Linked DNA regions of Schizosaccharomyces pombe. Changing the gene in region 2 together with the main gene of any one other region gives a genetic interaction. Each region holds a gene or a part of one and is shown on either strand. Other genes may lie near its edges. The genes, in order: apc15 and apc14.

Evidence for each region.
Region 1: mutations in apc14 (region 2) and apc15 are lethal when combined (synthetic lethality), as found in Schizosaccharomyces pombe (one study listed by BioGRID).

The regions. Positions count from the first base shown.
Region 1 is NC_003423.3:1,514,934-1,520,590, forward strand, and holds apc15 (anaphase-promoting complex platform subcomplex scaffold subunit Apc15), read left to right. Parts: upstream 1-1,762; 5' UTR 1,763-1,793; coding exon 1,794-1,901; exon of another isoform or gene 1,902-1,968; coding exon 1,969-2,271; 3' UTR 2,272-2,641; downstream 2,642-5,657. Other genes in the region: tas3 (RITS complex subunit 3), read right to left, coding at 1-1,195; RNA-binding protein Yme2, read left to right, coding at 2,735-5,056; rtc6 (mitochondrial 54S ribosomal protein bL36m), read right to left, coding at 5,279-5,557. UniProt on the Schizosaccharomyces pombe protein: Component of the anaphase promoting complex/cyclosome (APC/C), a cell cycle-regulated E3 ubiquitin-protein ligase complex that controls progression through mitosis and the G1 phase of the cell cycle.
Region 2 is NC_003424.3:4,514,275-4,525,038, forward strand, and holds apc14 (anaphase-promoting complex subunit Apc14), read right to left. Parts: upstream 4,234-10,764; 5' UTR 4,023-4,233; coding exon 3,699-4,022; 3' UTR 3,559-3,698; downstream 1-3,558. Other genes in the region: omt2 (4-alpha-hydroxytetrahydrobiopterin dehydratase), read left to right, coding at 3,268-3,558; etf1 (electron transfer flavoprotein alpha subunit), read left to right, coding at 4,772-5,797; Sm snRNP core protein Smd1, read right to left, coding at 6,264-6,553, 6,610-6,659, 6,703-6,716; methyltransferase Mtl16, read right to left, coding at 7,198-7,572, 7,629-7,718, 7,766-8,142, 8,191-8,345, 8,392-8,402, 8,481-8,556, 8,603-8,676; SPOM_SPAC27D7.09C (But2 family protein ), read right to left, coding at 9,114-10,265. UniProt on the Schizosaccharomyces pombe protein: Component of the anaphase promoting complex/cyclosome (APC/C), a cell cycle-regulated E3 ubiquitin-protein ligase complex that controls progression through mitosis and the G1 phase of the cell cycle.

The DNA.
Region 1 (5,657 bases), on a different chromosome or scaffold from region 2:
TACGCGACGAACCTTGCATATTAAAATCATTGGCATTCCCTAAATGAAAATGGGCTCCATGGTCTGATAAATGAGTGCGATCTTCAAAATTTTGGTTGTATACATACGAAGATTTCTCCAAATGCTTACTTCGAGGCCCTGTATCTCTATTATCGTAATGTTCTCGTTTGGACCTATATGAATCTGAACGACTATCTGGATGGTAAGAATCATATCGTCGATGATGATTCGATGATCTTGAAACCTGAGTGTTTTTCGGTTTGTCGTAATCCTCTTGTTGTGAAGGCCTATTGAAATTGTCAAGATTTATACTCTCCGCCCATTCGTTTTTGTAATGTTTTGTATCATCTGTAGAGCTCCAAGAACCATTAGTTTCGCCCCAACCATCATCCAGGTTTCCCCATGAAGCTTCAGGATCATCGGGGGCAAACCAAGAGGATTTTGCTTGATACTTCGGACGAAATTGTGGATCGCTATTCGAATCAAGCTCCATAAACATCGACGTATCGGTATGATCAAGAGACTTAGAAGATTCACGAAATCCAGTAGAATTATCATCCCAGCCAACAGACTTAGAGTCAGAACTGCGAATATCATTTTCACGAAGTGAAATGCTTTCATGCAGTCTAGAAGATGACTCTATTATTGAATCAGAAGTAGAGTTGTCCCACGATTCAATCTCCATGCTTCCTGAGCTTTTATCTAAAAACTTGTTTCTGCTTTTCCGATGTTTGCTTTTTTTCGTTTCTATAGGTTTTTCAAATTCAGTAACGGAGTTCTTTCTTAGTTGTTTCGACTTCACTGGCTTCTCCTTTCCATCCGTAACGAGTGGAAACTCAACATTAGATGATGTGTATTTTTTTGAAGCTCTTACCTCCTTTGTGACTCCAGAGGAAGTATGGGTTGCCTTTGCTTTAGCAGGACTGTTCTTAAGTTGCTGTGGGAAGTCAACAGCAGCCAGCAATTTCCTCTGCGATAGCATTTCAGAGCGGCAGTAAACTGCTTCTTCAGCTAGTTCCTGCCTTTTTTCTCTCCTATTTTTTAGATTAGAAAGCCAATGTTCAGTGAATAATTCGTGAACTCGCTCTAGCGAAACAGTTGCTGATCGCCGAGATGTTCCATGATTTTCGGGAAAGTCTGAAATACAAGCTAAAAACGGTAAACTTGGAAGATATTTTTTGATTCCTTTCTCCATTAAAATCGTAGCTCAAATAGGATCAAAAGCTCTCATTAAATTATAGTGGTTAGGAGTAAGTTAAGAAGTTTGATGAGTATGTGTAACATTAGATAGTAAGGATATTAATCGAGATACATACAGGTATCTTTTTTCTGAAATTTTGTATTTGCAAATAATTGAATCCTAAAAAACCCAATTTAAAGTACACCTACGTGAAATTGAAAAGAGTAGCCAGTTTCAATTACTTAAATGCTGAAACTTGAACATGAAACGTTACGGAACATAAGTATTTCTTATCCCTTGACCTCTTCATTAAAGGAAAATAAGCATTTTGATACTCTTAGTTAATAATCTTGTTCAAGCGTTGCAATAAACATTTCAAATCAGTCAAAAATAAGAGGAGAAATAAGTTCAACAGCTTTTGTTAATTAATACGTGAACCAAAAATTAACACGAAAGTTAATTTTGTGGCTTCTCAGCATTGCTTTGTGTTTACATTTTTTGTTTATTGTACAGAACTGGGTTAGTAAATAACCCAGTCACCATAGTAACGCCTTTAGTCTTACAATACACCAGCTGATTCTTGAATACCAATATTTATTTGCAGCATAAAATCATGTCGTTTATGTCGTTGATGGCTAATACAGCCCATCAACTATGGTATCCTACGTCTTTTCCTTCTATGAAAGAATTGGAAAAGGAAGAAGTTAGACTGGAGACTCAGGTATGTTTGTTTACGATTTTCAACGAGTTTCTGTGCATGAGAAAAGTCTAACTTGAACGAATCTTAGGAGCTTGCAATTAAACAGTTTGGATTTCGCACTATTCGGCCCATTGGATTAAATAGGTCTATGCAAGAGCAGCTTGATTTGGAAGAGCAAGAGCGCGAAGAGGCTAATCAAGACACTGAGTTGGATGAAGAAGAATTGGGAAGTGGGAGCTTTCCTGAAGAAGGCGAAATGGACGATATGGATGGTGATAATGAAGAAGTAGAAGATCACGATATTGAAGAAGTCGACTTGGATGCTGATATCACAAATGCTGACGCCTCTGAATTTTACGAAGATATAAGTGAATACGGATTTCAAAATTAAGGCTTTAAAAATAATAATATCGAATCAACCATGATTGCTAAAGCTATGCTGCTGCATTACCCGATTGAAAAATGTATGTACAATCGAATTTATTCCCATAATTGTTTACGAAAAAAGAACTTGAAGATAATAACTGGATACACAACCTATGCATGCTAAAAGGCTATCAACTCTTTATGATTCAAATGACCCATTTGATTCTACTGTTTTGAATTTATTTAACGATGTCTAAATTTACAATGCTAATTTTATTTAGCATTTTTAAGCAATGTTCTTAAACCACTAGCCTTTTACATCATTGACAGATCCCATTTGGAATCCTGACTTACTGTTAACCGTATAACTTAAATAATCATTTTCTTGGCTGTTCGTTTTTGGTGTTTGAATATTCATATTGGAGTGCAACAAACCGTTGTGTATTTCTTAGACATCGTTGAAACTAATTTAAAGCCTACCCGAAACTATGAATTTGTTTCTATCTCGGTTCACGGGGTTACGAAATACTTCATTTTTGGGTCATGCACGACCGTTTATGTTTCCACGTCGCTATGCTCATTCTTTAGTGGCACATAATATTGGTCATATCAAGCTAGATCCAAATGAAGGTCTTTTCTTCGTGGATAATCTCGTCAATACTCCAACCTATTTCTACATTCAGCGATACACTGCGTTGCTCTTTCAGAACAACTTGAAAAAGCAGCTAAGTGCTGCTTTTCCAAGCTCTGATACAATGCAGTTGGAAGATATCATATTCAGATGGCAAGATGGAGGAGCATTTTTAAAAGTACGTTACAAGGAATTCCCACAAGATACAGAAGCGGTTTCAGAACACGTCCGTGAATCATTTCGAAAGCGTCCAGTTCGAACAATTTTACACCCTTTCTCTACCCCGATTCCACACATGGTACATGGTATTCCTTGGCTTCAAGATTTATATATATTTCCATCTCGTACAGTAGATGTGAATTTCGAAGGTCCGCCCCTTTCCCAGGAAAGATTGTATAGTATTTTTAGGACATATGGAAAACTAAGATCCGTGACCATTAATTCACCTACTTCTGCTACTTTGAGTTTTTCATCGCTAAGGTCCGCTACGTCAGCTTTAAACTGTATGCATGGTTTTGTTTATGGGAAAACAGAATTCCACATGCGATACAGACATATGAACCGCTTTGTCGCCTTCAAAGACTGGTTATTCTCTCATCCTCGTTTTACTATTCCTTTGGTTGCGGCGGCTATTACAGTTTTAACGGCTTCTTTATTCGATCCGATAAGAAAGTTCTTTGTCGAGACAAACATTGTACATGGTCAGAAGTTGAGAAATATCAATGTTGTTGGGTGGGTCAAAAAGAAAACTCGCGATATAGTTTTGAGTCCCTTTCACGAAAATGGTACAAATATAAAGGCACCGATTTGGACAACACGTGAAAAGGATTGTGAACAGTTGAAAGAATGGTTGGATGAAGCATTACATTCTTTTATTGTTGTTCAAGGTCCTCGTGGTAGTGGTAAGCGTGATCTGGTAGATCGAGTTGTTAAAGAACGAAAAAATGTTTTGTTTTTCGACTGTGATCGCTTATTCTCCACTACTAATACGGAAATGTTCGTAAGTACTCTTGCTAGCCAAACGGGGTATTTCCCCCTCTTTAGCTTCCTAAACAACATATCGTCACTTATCGATATGGCTGCACAAGGTCTCATAGGACAAAAAACGGGAATTGTTTCTTCTAGTGAAGGACAAGTGCGGCAAATTCTTAACACAACACAAACGGTATTGCGTTCTCTAGCATTACGAGAGCATAAAGAAGCCGATACTAGTGTGTTGGATGAATCTGAGTTTTTAGAAGTTCATGCAGATCGCTTACCTGTTGTTATTCTCGACAATTTCCAGCTTCGTAAATTATCAAACCCGATGCAGAGAGTGGTTGCTGAATGGGCTGGTAATTTGGTAAAGGAAGGAATTGCTCATGTACTAATGCTAACACCCGATGTTGGAGGCACCAAGTCATTAGAGCAATATGTCAACGGTTGGGAAAATAGAACATTGTTATTAGGAGATGCTGACCCTGTACTTGCTCAGCGATATGTCATAGAGTCTTTACCCGAAGAGATGCAAACAGAAGAATTGAGGAAAGAATTGCGGGTCCAATTACCGAAGATTGGTGGCCGACTTCGTGATCTTGATTATGTAGCTCGTAGGTTGCGGGTTAATTCTTCCAGTGTTTCTGAAGCAATTGGCGGTATTGTAAGTCAAAATGCCTCTGATATTTTGCAAACATTTTTACGGCCTGCTTCTTTAACCAGTGAGGAGAAGCCAACGTTCACTCCAGAAGAGTCATGGACCTTAATTACTTATTTATCTCAACATGAATATATACCCTATCATATGTTGATGCTTGACCCACTGTTCAAAGGACACGACGATGCCGTTCGTGCCTTGGAAGAATCAGAATTGATTACTATTACCACAGTGAATGCAAGACCGGATAAAGTCTACGCTGGAAAACCTGTATATGTTACGGCTTTCCGGCAACTTGTAAATGATCCAGTATTAAGTGCTAATATGCAGTTGGTGAGATGTAACGCGTTAATTGGCATGGCTAACAATGCTATCAAGAATGATGAACAGGAGCTACAAATGCTAAAGGACCTTGGGAACCTTGAATCAGGTGTGAAGGATCGTGCTCATTACTTAACGACGCGTATCCAGAAAAATCAAGGTGTTATTACTGATAATGAGAAAAGTATAGAAAGGCTTACTGAGGCTTTGAAAAAAATCGACTAAGATGCGAAAGCATATCATTTAAGATTACGTATGTTTTTATGAATTCTTTAGCATGAAGCTATAATGTCAACAATAATATCACATTTAATGACTACGCATTAACGAGAGAGAAGGGAGTAAGGATTTGGTAGGTAGTCCAAAAATCGTCGTAATATGAAGTGAGCGTAATGAAGAATTAGCCTAGGTAGAAAAAAAAAGAAGAAGCGAAACCGGTTATAGTCATTAACCTTGACGGGTTTTATGTCTCGGATGTTTTTTGCATAGTACATACAACCTACCTTTGCGACGCACAAAATAGCAGGATGAACAACGCTTTTTTACTGATGCTTTCACTTTGAAACCTCTTGAAAAGTTCCAAGGTAGAAGGCTAGGAGAAAGTCTGAAAGCAGGGGTTAAGAACATAGATGCATTTTTTAACAACCCTTTTTGTGCATTAAAAGCAGAAGGGAAGACTCGTGACAAAACACCCACAGCAAAAAATTTACGACCTAATGAAGCCATTATAAGTTAAAAAAAAAGTGAAACTGGGACTTCAAGTCAAGATGTTTAAATTTTTTTGGATCCGAAGTAATTCTGAGCTAAATAAATGATGTACGATGGA
Region 2 (10,764 bases):
ATTAGATAAATAAACGTATCAATGTTTTGTTACGGTCGATAGGTTTATTGGCGCGGATGATGGCAGCTGTGTGTCCTATTAAGATGGAAAATGCGAACGGTAAGAGAAACAATTGGCAAGGATGGAGTAATGGAAAAGAAGTAAATGCACGATGTATAAAAACTTAAGTTTTTTCCATATGGTTTTTCAACTAACTAGAGGTGTAAAAAAAAAAAAAAAAAAAAAAAAAGCAATTTCCCTTTCCTTTTTTAAAATGGGGTATATATTTTTTGCTTTCTCTATTACAAAGGAACGTTAAGTTTCAGACAAACAAAATATACGACAGCCTAAATGGCAGCAGCGAAACAAAACAAAAACGATGCAATGCAATGCGATGCTTTTCAGTACAAATCAAAAAGCCAGCCCAAAATAGTTCTGTAAAGATAATTACAACAATCTGTCCGGCCGGATTGCTGGAGGAAGGATGGATTGTATGTTGGGAATAATGAGAGGGCTTGGATGCTTTATAATGAGATACAGTAATTAGAGAACAAAGAAGTTATTTCAAAGAAATCACAAAGTCAAAAAGGACTTTATTTGCTCGCAAATATTACGACAATTACTGGGAGAATGCTTGATTGAATGGGACGTACTGTTTATGCTACCCCTGCCTTTGTCCCGTGTAACACAAAGTGGGAAGAGTAACAAAGAAACGAAGTAAGCCAAGTAAACAAAGAATCTCAACAGCAGCTTTCAGTGGCGAAAACAAAGCGTTGAAAACAAAGGGAATCAACGAAATTTATAGACCTACGATGAAAATTTCAGTAGCCTTTACTGTTAGGCATTTACTGTGAACGTTTTTGCAATGCCCCTGAGGGGCTAGCTCGAGAAGGGTTTGTAAAACAAAGAAACTTTAAAATAGGAACAAAGAAATCGGTCGGCTTTCGTTACTCTATCTAAAGTTATGATGCGATGTCAGTAAGCTCTAATATAAGAGGACGATAATGGAAAAAAAATCCCATAAAAAGCGGGACAACTGATCCAATTTGGACAGATTGAAAGCCAACGCGACTCGCGTTAGATAGAGTAAATAGCGAGAAACGCTAAATGCATTTTCTTTTATGGTGTTTGCTTTGTCTACTGAAGCAAAAGGCTATTTATTCAAATCAGTGGTAATTAGTGTATAGCTTGTAAAGGTAAGTTAGTCCTTTTGAAAGTTTGAAAAAGATGATAGATAAAAAACAACGTTGTATCCATCCCGAAAAACATGGACAAGTCAAAGAAATCACATTTTTTATTTGCCTTCATTAGTGTAGTAATCTCCACCTTGCTGTATAATTCGGTAAGGATTTCTTTTGTTATTTACGCGTGCTTTTTTCCATACATCTTTTTTCGCCAATGCAAAACCCTCTTTTAACAGTGTTTCTTCTTTCAACCCTTATTCAGCGCATGCGTCTCCTATATTTGCGCGTTTTACACAGAGGTCGTTTGACATCCAGATTGTTCTCTGGCATGAAAGATAACTACATCATTTAATATTAGCAACTTGCTCACTTTCTTTTCTTTTCACATAAACTATAAAGCTGTTCGGCAATTAAAATTCCCCACTGAAATCCAATTAGCCAACGATCAAACTAGATCGCATTTATTGAGTGATTTGAAAACAATGCTTTATGCGCAAAAGTGGAGAAGGTAAATGTAGACAACCTCACGTTTTTGTTTATAAACATTAGTAAACGCCGCATTCGATTTTAATGTATCACGTATAAATCGGTAAATATGTGTGTACCACGGTTGTAGAAGTGCTCGAAGACAAGTAAGAAGGAAGCATTAATAACTTTTGGCAATTAAAAAGAGGTTGGGAATTCAGAACAAAAAAAGAGTAAAAGCGATATATTTATTCTATTCCAAAAGATTTGTATGCATGTATAAGAGATTTTAAGGCTGATGATGGTTTTTGATTATACTTTGGGTTTACATTATTTTTGTTTTGTTCTGTTTTGTTTGTTTTGTTTTGCTTTCGTATACACTCTATTTTTTTTTAAACGTAAAATGATCATTAGCGATGTTGCTTCAGTAAAGCGAGAGTCAGTGAACAATGGTTAGATTAAAGCTTTGCTGAGTAAATATTTTTTGGCTTTCTTATTAAAGGTCTTATAAGAAACATATGTGTATTTTTTGTTTTATTGCTTAGCCAGTTTACTATTTTTGGGACAATGCGTTTCGTAAACGTTTATGATGTTTGATGTACGTGACGAATTGTTCAAAAGTTAAATTTTGAGGTTTAAAAAAAATGAAGGCCTGAGAAACCGCTTCTATCTCTATGGTTGTTTATATCACCAACAAATGTCAATTGAGAATTTGAGGAAAGAACAGAAACCTAAGAGGAATCTTGTTCTTAAAGGATGAAAAATCAACATGACAATTCCTTCATTTTATACATCTTGGAAGCGAAACACAAGAAGGGGTGAAAGGAAGTTGAAGAGCTTGAAAATGTCAGTCAGCAAAGGAATTCCACAATTTTTTTGATAAGTGACGTGAAAGAAACCTTTTGAGTTTGGTTTCAATGCTTCATGCTTCTCGAGAAAAGAGGCGGTCTTGGGTTTTTATAATTTTGTGTTTGAAGGTCCCATTTGATATTTGGAATGTTGCTGCAGTGAAACCTAACTGTTTACAAGTATTTTTATTTTTATTCATAAATGTCTCGTAAGCTAAGTCTCACCTTTTCTCTTATGCAAACAGGAGGTTATTTGATTATAGTTATCGAATAAATGGATGATTGATCCATGTATAAAATGATATTGTTAATGGTATTGATATCTTGTTTTAAAACATGTTTGTTACTTATAGAAGCACTATGTGTTGAAGCCAAGTCGATAAACTTTTAAAAATTAGGAAGTGTTCCATGAATAAAATATTTTAACATTAAAAAGAGCGAATGACTATTTACCCATAAAAACTGATGGATAAAATGCTACAAGACCAAACCAAGCATATTTTATTTATTTTGGAAATAAAACTAGGAAACTGTTTATACAATTAACAAATATAATTCTAATGCTCCTCTGTAGAAGAGGTTCTTTTAGCGTAGTAGCTAAATTTACTCTTTTGATGTTGTGAATAAGACAAGACGATATGATTTCGTTCTCTTTCACATACCAAAGTAAAAGGAGGTAAATTGAGTGTATTAAAACAGTTACGTTCTACACACATCACATTGATATTTTACCTAAATTTTGAAGAAAAACATTTTTTCTGGAATAAACGTTGGTTTAGAAGGTTGAAAAAATGAACACATCAGCTAGATTACTGGCGTTAGTCTCGAAATCAAAAAACAACTGGATTCTTCAACAAGGAGATACAAAACTATTTAAAAGCTTTCGTTTTAAAAACTTCATTGAAGCTTGGGGATTTATGAGCTGTGTCGCATTGCGTGCACAACAGCTAAATCATCATCCCGAATGGACTAATGTATACAATAAAGTGGATATTACGTTGACAACTCACGATACAAAGGGACTTACAGAAAAAGATTTAAAGCTGGCAGAATTTATTGATACACTTGCAAAGGATAACTGAAAGCTGCAACCAAGAGGGTAGTAGCGGAAAACTATCTTGAGACACAGATTGCCAGAAATTATTCTTAATATTTTGAATTAATTTAGTGTTTAGTGATGTGGTGTTTGAAAGGATAAGAATTTATATCATAAACTCATTAATCACCATTCAGCCAACTGGTCAAGTTGTTGAACATGTTTTGTCAGATGCTGCATAATAGCTTGCCTGTATTCTGGAATAGAACTTCTGCTGGAAGCAATTCTGGATATTGCAATTCTACTTGCCCTTTCATTTCTTTCTTGCTCGGCCTCTTCACCACCTATAACATCTCGATAATTCCAAAATTCAATGGCTTTTGAAGCTTCAGGGAGTAGAAGTGGTTTCTTGGCGAGAGGTTTTGGGTTGCCAGACATGGAGAGTCTTTGAAAGACGTTTCCAAAAGTTCGATAACTTTTGGACTGACCAGTACCAGCAAACGGATCCATATGACCTCGAAACGTTTTAATATACAAAAGTAAAAAAAACCCCCGTGAGTACTAAGAGACAATGACTTCAATCATTGATTTGTTCTTCTTTAAAAGAGAACCGTTTAAATATGAAAATTGTAATCTCTTTTGTATTTAAGCAGTAAGTGAAGAGGTTTGGACAAGTGATTAGGAAATTTCACCGATTTTCTTGTTTATTTACTATCTTGTGTGCGTAGTTGAACAAAACTCCTTGCCATCGTTAGAAAGCAATGCTTGTGGTATAAGAATGTGGAGTGTGTTATTAAAATAAAATAGTGAAGTCACCTTTTGTCTCCTAATATCTTAGTGAACTTTAACGTTGATGAACGATTCAATAACTGTAATGCTAAGAAGGATACATTGAGTTTCTCATATTTTTTTTTATTTGAAAAGAATTTTCATTATTATTATTTTTAATGATGCACCTAGTTATTGCAATCGCTATAGACTTTAAACTTTGTATTGAAAGAATTTGTCAAAATATTGGCAGTTGGTTATCAAAAAAAATAAATGTAAGGTATATGAAAATTAGGATGTTTTCATACTCACGAAAAATCATTTCTGGTAGATAAATCACTTAAATATATCACGATTACTTATTTTTAGTTATTTTACCTTTGAAATGTAAGACTGTATTACTTAAGTTTTTTCTTAGTATAATATGTGAACATACATATTGTCAGCGTACATCCTCATTCACCCTCAAACCTACAACGAAGTATTCTAACATGCTAAGGACTACTAGCCGGACATTTTCTAGGGCTTTGTCTTCTTCTAACTTTAAAATAAATTGTGGAAGAAGGCATTGGTTTAGTGTTTTGACGTTGCTTGAGCATCAGGGAGGGAACTTGTCTCCAGCATCCTTGTCAGCAGTAGAAGCAGCAAAGCGTACCGGTGGGGATGTTTTTGGATTTGTAATCGGTAAGGATTCTTCTCAAATTTCTCAAAAGGTAGCAAAATCGGTGAACGATTTGAAAAAGGTTATCTACGTTGAGAATCCGTCATATGAGCATAACATTCCCGATCAAATAGCCAATGTTCTTTTTGAAAATGTTAAGAAAAATGAAATTAGTCATGTTTTTTCTGCTCATTCAACTGTTGGTAAAGGGGTGATGCCTCGTTTGGCTGCTATGTTTGATGTGATGCAGATTAGTGACATTATTGGTGTGGTTTCTGCTGACACATTCGTTCGTCCGACATACGCGGGAAACGTAAACGTTACTGTGTCTACAAAGGATCCTATTAAAATCGTCACCGTTCGTGCATCTGCATTTGACGCCGCTCCTTCAAGTGGTGAAGGAGCAGCCACTGTTGTTGAAGGTATTGATCCAAAACCAGCTGCTCTACAAGAATGGGTTAGTGAGAATATTATAAAGAATGCTAGGCCTGATTTGTCTTCTGCCGAAAGAGTTGTTGCTGGTGGTCGACCTTTGAAAGACAAAGAGACATTTGAACGCATCCTTACACCTTTGGCTGACAAATTGGGTGCAGCAATTGGTGCTACACGTGTTGCCGTGGATTCTGGCTATGCTGATAATTCTTTACAAATAGGTCAAACTGGAAAAATCATCGCCCCAAAGCTTTATATTGCTGTTGGAATTGATGGTGCTATTCAGCATCTTGCCGGAATCAAAGATAGCAAAGTCATTGCTGCTATAAATCGCGATGAAAATGCTCCTATCTTTCAAACAGCAGATGTGGGAATTGTAGGTGACTTATTTGAAATCGTCCCGGAGCTTACTGAAAAACTTTGAAAATCATGTTGAGGAATGATTCCTTATTTTTCATAATATCACATTTATTTCAAATTTCACATCTTTTTAGAAGTTAATAAAATACACGTTTATTTAACTGGGTACTCGTAATAAATTAAGGAAATTTTTGATGTAATATTTAATTATATACCAGTGAAACAACTCTGAAGTCGTTTTATACATACATTTATGAAGCCACCTCAGCAAAGCTATCGTAGGTTGATTATCAAACATTTCAACGTATGAGAAAGAAAGGGATTTTTTTAGCGGTCTAGATATTTAACCAGAGATAAATGATAGAAACATGGAAAACATAGAATACGCATACACTCTCAGCAATACTTCAATGTCATCACAAAGCAAATCTATTAAAAGAAAATAAAATGCAAAGGCCGATTGATATTGCCAATAATTTTAAATTCTCTGACAAAAATAAGGGTGCGAAAAGAGAATATTTTCATAATATTTAAAACCCACGAGAAGCACCGCGGCCTCTGCCTCTAGTTCCACGGCCACGTCCACGTCCACGACCTCGTACTACCTCTTTCTTCTTTTGTTTTGGCTTTGTGCTATCATCAATTAAAAGGGTATCAAGTGGTAACGAGTCTGGGAGGATGTAGTAGCGTATGTTATTTCCACGAATTGACAGAGTTTCTACAGGCACTGGCTCTCTACCTTTGACAGTCATTTTAACAGCTTTTAAATGGGTATTCATTTGCATATCAACAGAAGTAATCGTTCCGTGAACAATTGTGCCTACGCGATTTGGTAAGTTTGGTTCATTTATTATACGAAAGTAAGGCTTTACGTACCATTTTTTAACTCAATAGAGACAGTTTCATTCGTCAGCTTCATTAAAAAGCTAAACTCGTTAGGAATATGTATAGATTTTTTATCATACTTACCGTACCAACTTCATGGTGTGTGCTTTGGTGTTCCTGGCAACTGCAAAAATCAAGTATTATGTTCGACTAAAACACATCAACAATAGATAAAATCATCAATTTTATGTTAAGATATAATGGATTCTGAAGTTTTACTAGTCCAAAATAGCTTTGTGATATTAATAGGCTGATCTTCATGTGCATTTATTTTTCCAGTATCTGAGAATAAAGTTGAGAAGCTAAGACTTCTTAATACAGATTCGACTGTTGAAAAAGCTTGATACTAATTTTAATAATTAAGTGAAAGCACTCATTAGTCTAAATAAATGGGTTTCGAACCCAATACTCGAATGAGCTTTAAGGCATCAAATTTTAGAGATAAAATTATTATGTATCGCATGTCATTTGTTTTAATCATTTATTTTATACAATTTAAGACATTTTATTCAAATACAAAATTCAAAGCTTTGGCTATTCAATATAAGAAGATTACCAAGTGAATTTTCACGAATTGAATTATTTTTTATTGTCCCGTAAAGCTCGCGCTAAAGCTGAACAGAAACTTTCATAAACATTATAATCATATCCTTCAATCCATTTACACTGCAATTGATTATCTATTACGTTCAGTTCACATTTCATTTGTCCTTCCAGACTAGAAACAGAAGTTTGACTTTTGGATATCCGTCGAGCTTTACGAGACCAAGTGATAGATTTTGTTGATATTTCCAAAACGGATCCTTTTTTAGACCACGGAATTTTGTTATCATCTAAGAATTTCTGTAGAATGTCATCAATTTGAGCACATAATTCTGGGTCTAAAGTCCAATTCTGAAGAACCTTATGGGGGAAATATTTAGAAAGGGAAGTTGAAGAAGGACGTATAAGTTCCTTTGGATCCTTTTGTTAGTATCATGAATTTTAAATATCGTTCGATAGCAGCATACATTGTGTGGACGCATAGCCTGAAATGACCAGCAAATTATCCAGCGCTTAGTCTTTCCAAGTGCGAGTTCGTAAATTCCATAATTTGATATCTTACAGATATAAGTTAAAAAAATTTTAAAGGCTAGTTAGGACTTACATTTTGTTCACGCAATTTATCAACCACAGCAGGTACACTTGATTTTTTGCCAAACATACAGGTATACCATTGAATTCCTTTCCTTTTTTTACTTTCAGTTAAGATTTTATTGGCAAATCCGACTTCACCACCCTCTGTAACCATTTCATGATAAACTCCAGTACAAACACCCGATGGTGGATTTTGCTTAAAATTTATGAAATCTTCCTCATGTTCATAAAATGGGGGATTACACATCACAAAGGTAAATTCTTCCATCCCTTCGGTATCAGGGAGTAAGCAGTCTTGTTTAGAACGAAGCACAATTTTGATCTGGGATTCCATGTTATTTTGAAGAATATTGCTCTTGGCTGTTTCAAAAGAAAATTTGTCAATTTCTAGAGTTTTGAGTAATTAGTAAAAGCCTGTGAAAAATCAAAGCTTACCGGTGCCAACGAAATCATATGAGTACATACGACAGCCTAATAATGGGTATATACAACTAGCGCCGGTACCAATATCCAAACCAATGATTCTTTTTTTATCCTTTTGCCCAGATGTACTTGACAACAGGTCATGAATATATCTTATATAAGTGGCTCTGAAAAGTTGGTTATAAATGATGAATAAACAATGTGTTAATATACCGGTTTGGAACCTTTAAATGAATTAGCATTTATGAGAGAAGGGAAATGTTTGTTTAAAAGAAACATTGGTGATGCTACACATCTCTTACCATTGGACATAGACGATTCTCAGGAAATTCAACACGAAGAGAATAATCCCGATCCAGAATTGCTTTTCCTAACGTACTAATTTATAGGTAAGCAATCGTTTAACATATGTGAGTTTACCAACCGAATAGCATCTTCGTTCCAAAAATCAATGCGACCATTTTTGACGCTACGTTCAATTAGTATATAAATTGGCATTGAGAACGCCCTACAAAGATCTCAAGTCGGGATAATCCCTTGCTAAACTATCGAAATTTATAATATCAGTTTTATCAGTCATATTTTTGAGTACGTAAATTTTTTTTGCTATATCGCCTTTATCGGCGGTTGCTTGGTTAAAAAACGCAAATTTGCTCGTACAAATAACGCTTTCGAATGCCGTATAATTAGTGGTAATATATAGAAAAATATTAAAGGTACATTAGGTGAGCAAAAATAAATACAGCATACACTGAGTCTACTTAGGTAAATGGTACAACATAATCGGTGGCCCTTGAATAGATTTTTCCATTTAACAATAGCGTCTACCCAAAGATTACTGGAAATTATTACTCATAAAGGAAAGAAAAGTAATGAATTTAAATGCTAATGAAGTTAAACTAGATAATGCTTCTTGATTTCTCAATAAGTTAAATTTAAACTCGTAAAGTTAATCCCTCAAGAGGATCGGCTTCTTCGAAGAAACTCAAATAAGAGTCATCAGTGAGAGCCATCATTTCATAAGAAACCGCGGTGTATGAGTTGGGGCATGTAACGTTGGTAGCATAATCGCAACCAGAGCTAGAGCAGTTGAAACGTCCAATTTCGGCAATGCGGTTTGGACGGTTGGAGTAAACAGTAGAATCGTTGGCGACGGAGGAGAGGTTGAAAAGAATGAATTGACCAACACCATTGCTGCCTTCAACAGTGATTGGGAAACCGCTAGTATCGAGATGTAGGTTGAGTTCGCAACTGCCGGAAACTTGAGGAACATCAAATGTGAAAATCGTGTTGGTATGATTGTTTTGCTTCTGAAAGACGACTGGAGAGTAAACATTACCGGAGTTGGAACTGGGGTTAGCAGAATCGATCAAACGAATTCCATGTGGGAAAAGAGGGTAAACAGCTGAGGAAGCTGCTGCGGATGCAGCTTTTGCCGTGGCAGTAGCCGATGCTGTAACAGGAACAACAACACATTTGGTGGTGTAAGCAATTGCCCCACTAGAAGTGCTTGCTTTAGCAGACGATGAAACGCGAGTTGAAGTTGAAGTAGCAGCTGAACTAGAAGAAGAAGAAGAAGAGGATGGAGACACGAAGGCCTCAATAGCAATACCTGCACAATTGGGGTTACCATTTCCGGCTCCGAAGTATACTTGGTAGACCTGATCATTATCACTAGCAGGACAAGCTACCGCAGATTGGGTTCCATTATATAGAAGATTGTATCCAACATTAGTAGCATCACCAGCACTGAACTTAGTGGAAGCTGCATTAGCATCAGATTTGAAAATAGTGGTGCCATTGCTGTCAACCGAAGCGTAAAGATTTCCGACAACCAGTCTTCCGTTACTCATAGAAAAGACAGCACTAGTACTGGTACCATCAGTAGGATCCAGGTAAATAGCGCCAGAGTCTCCTACATAGAAAGGGTGCAAGTGGACATAACTGTTGCCAGAATGAATAGACATTAGGCCAAATTGCTTGTTGTTCAAAGGGTCATCACGCTTATGCAACGGTGAAGCTAATGTGCCCGAGGCAGCGAGCAAAGAGAGCAATGTGGAAGCAATGGGGATTGAAGTAAGCTTCATAACGTAAGTTAAACAAAAATGCAAGAAAGTCAAAGCAAATGAATGTTTTTTTTTTTAATTGAAACTTTTAATAATAACTAAAAAATTGGAGGAATTTCTAGATATTGCAATAAGATTGATCAAACTGAAGAAGATTAATCACTTATTGTCAACCAAAGTAAGAATTCCTTTTTTCGTATCAGATATTTCTTTAAGTGTTACCAACAATTATTTGCCAAGCATCGTGCTTATATTTATAATAATGAACATTATTCTAGAATTTTAGTTCGATAAAATTTAAGAATATTCTATGAAAAAAACCCGGTTCAAATAATCCGCTTTACACGGCGCTTCCGAATGGCAGTAATTATGTAATAAACATGTGCAGTTTTTCATATCGGCAAAATTGCAGTACGCTACTTATTGCTTTACTTAGCAAATCAATATATGTCATACAATTCCAAGGGTATTTACGGAAAAATATTAATCATAACTTCTATTGATACAATTAACCGTATGT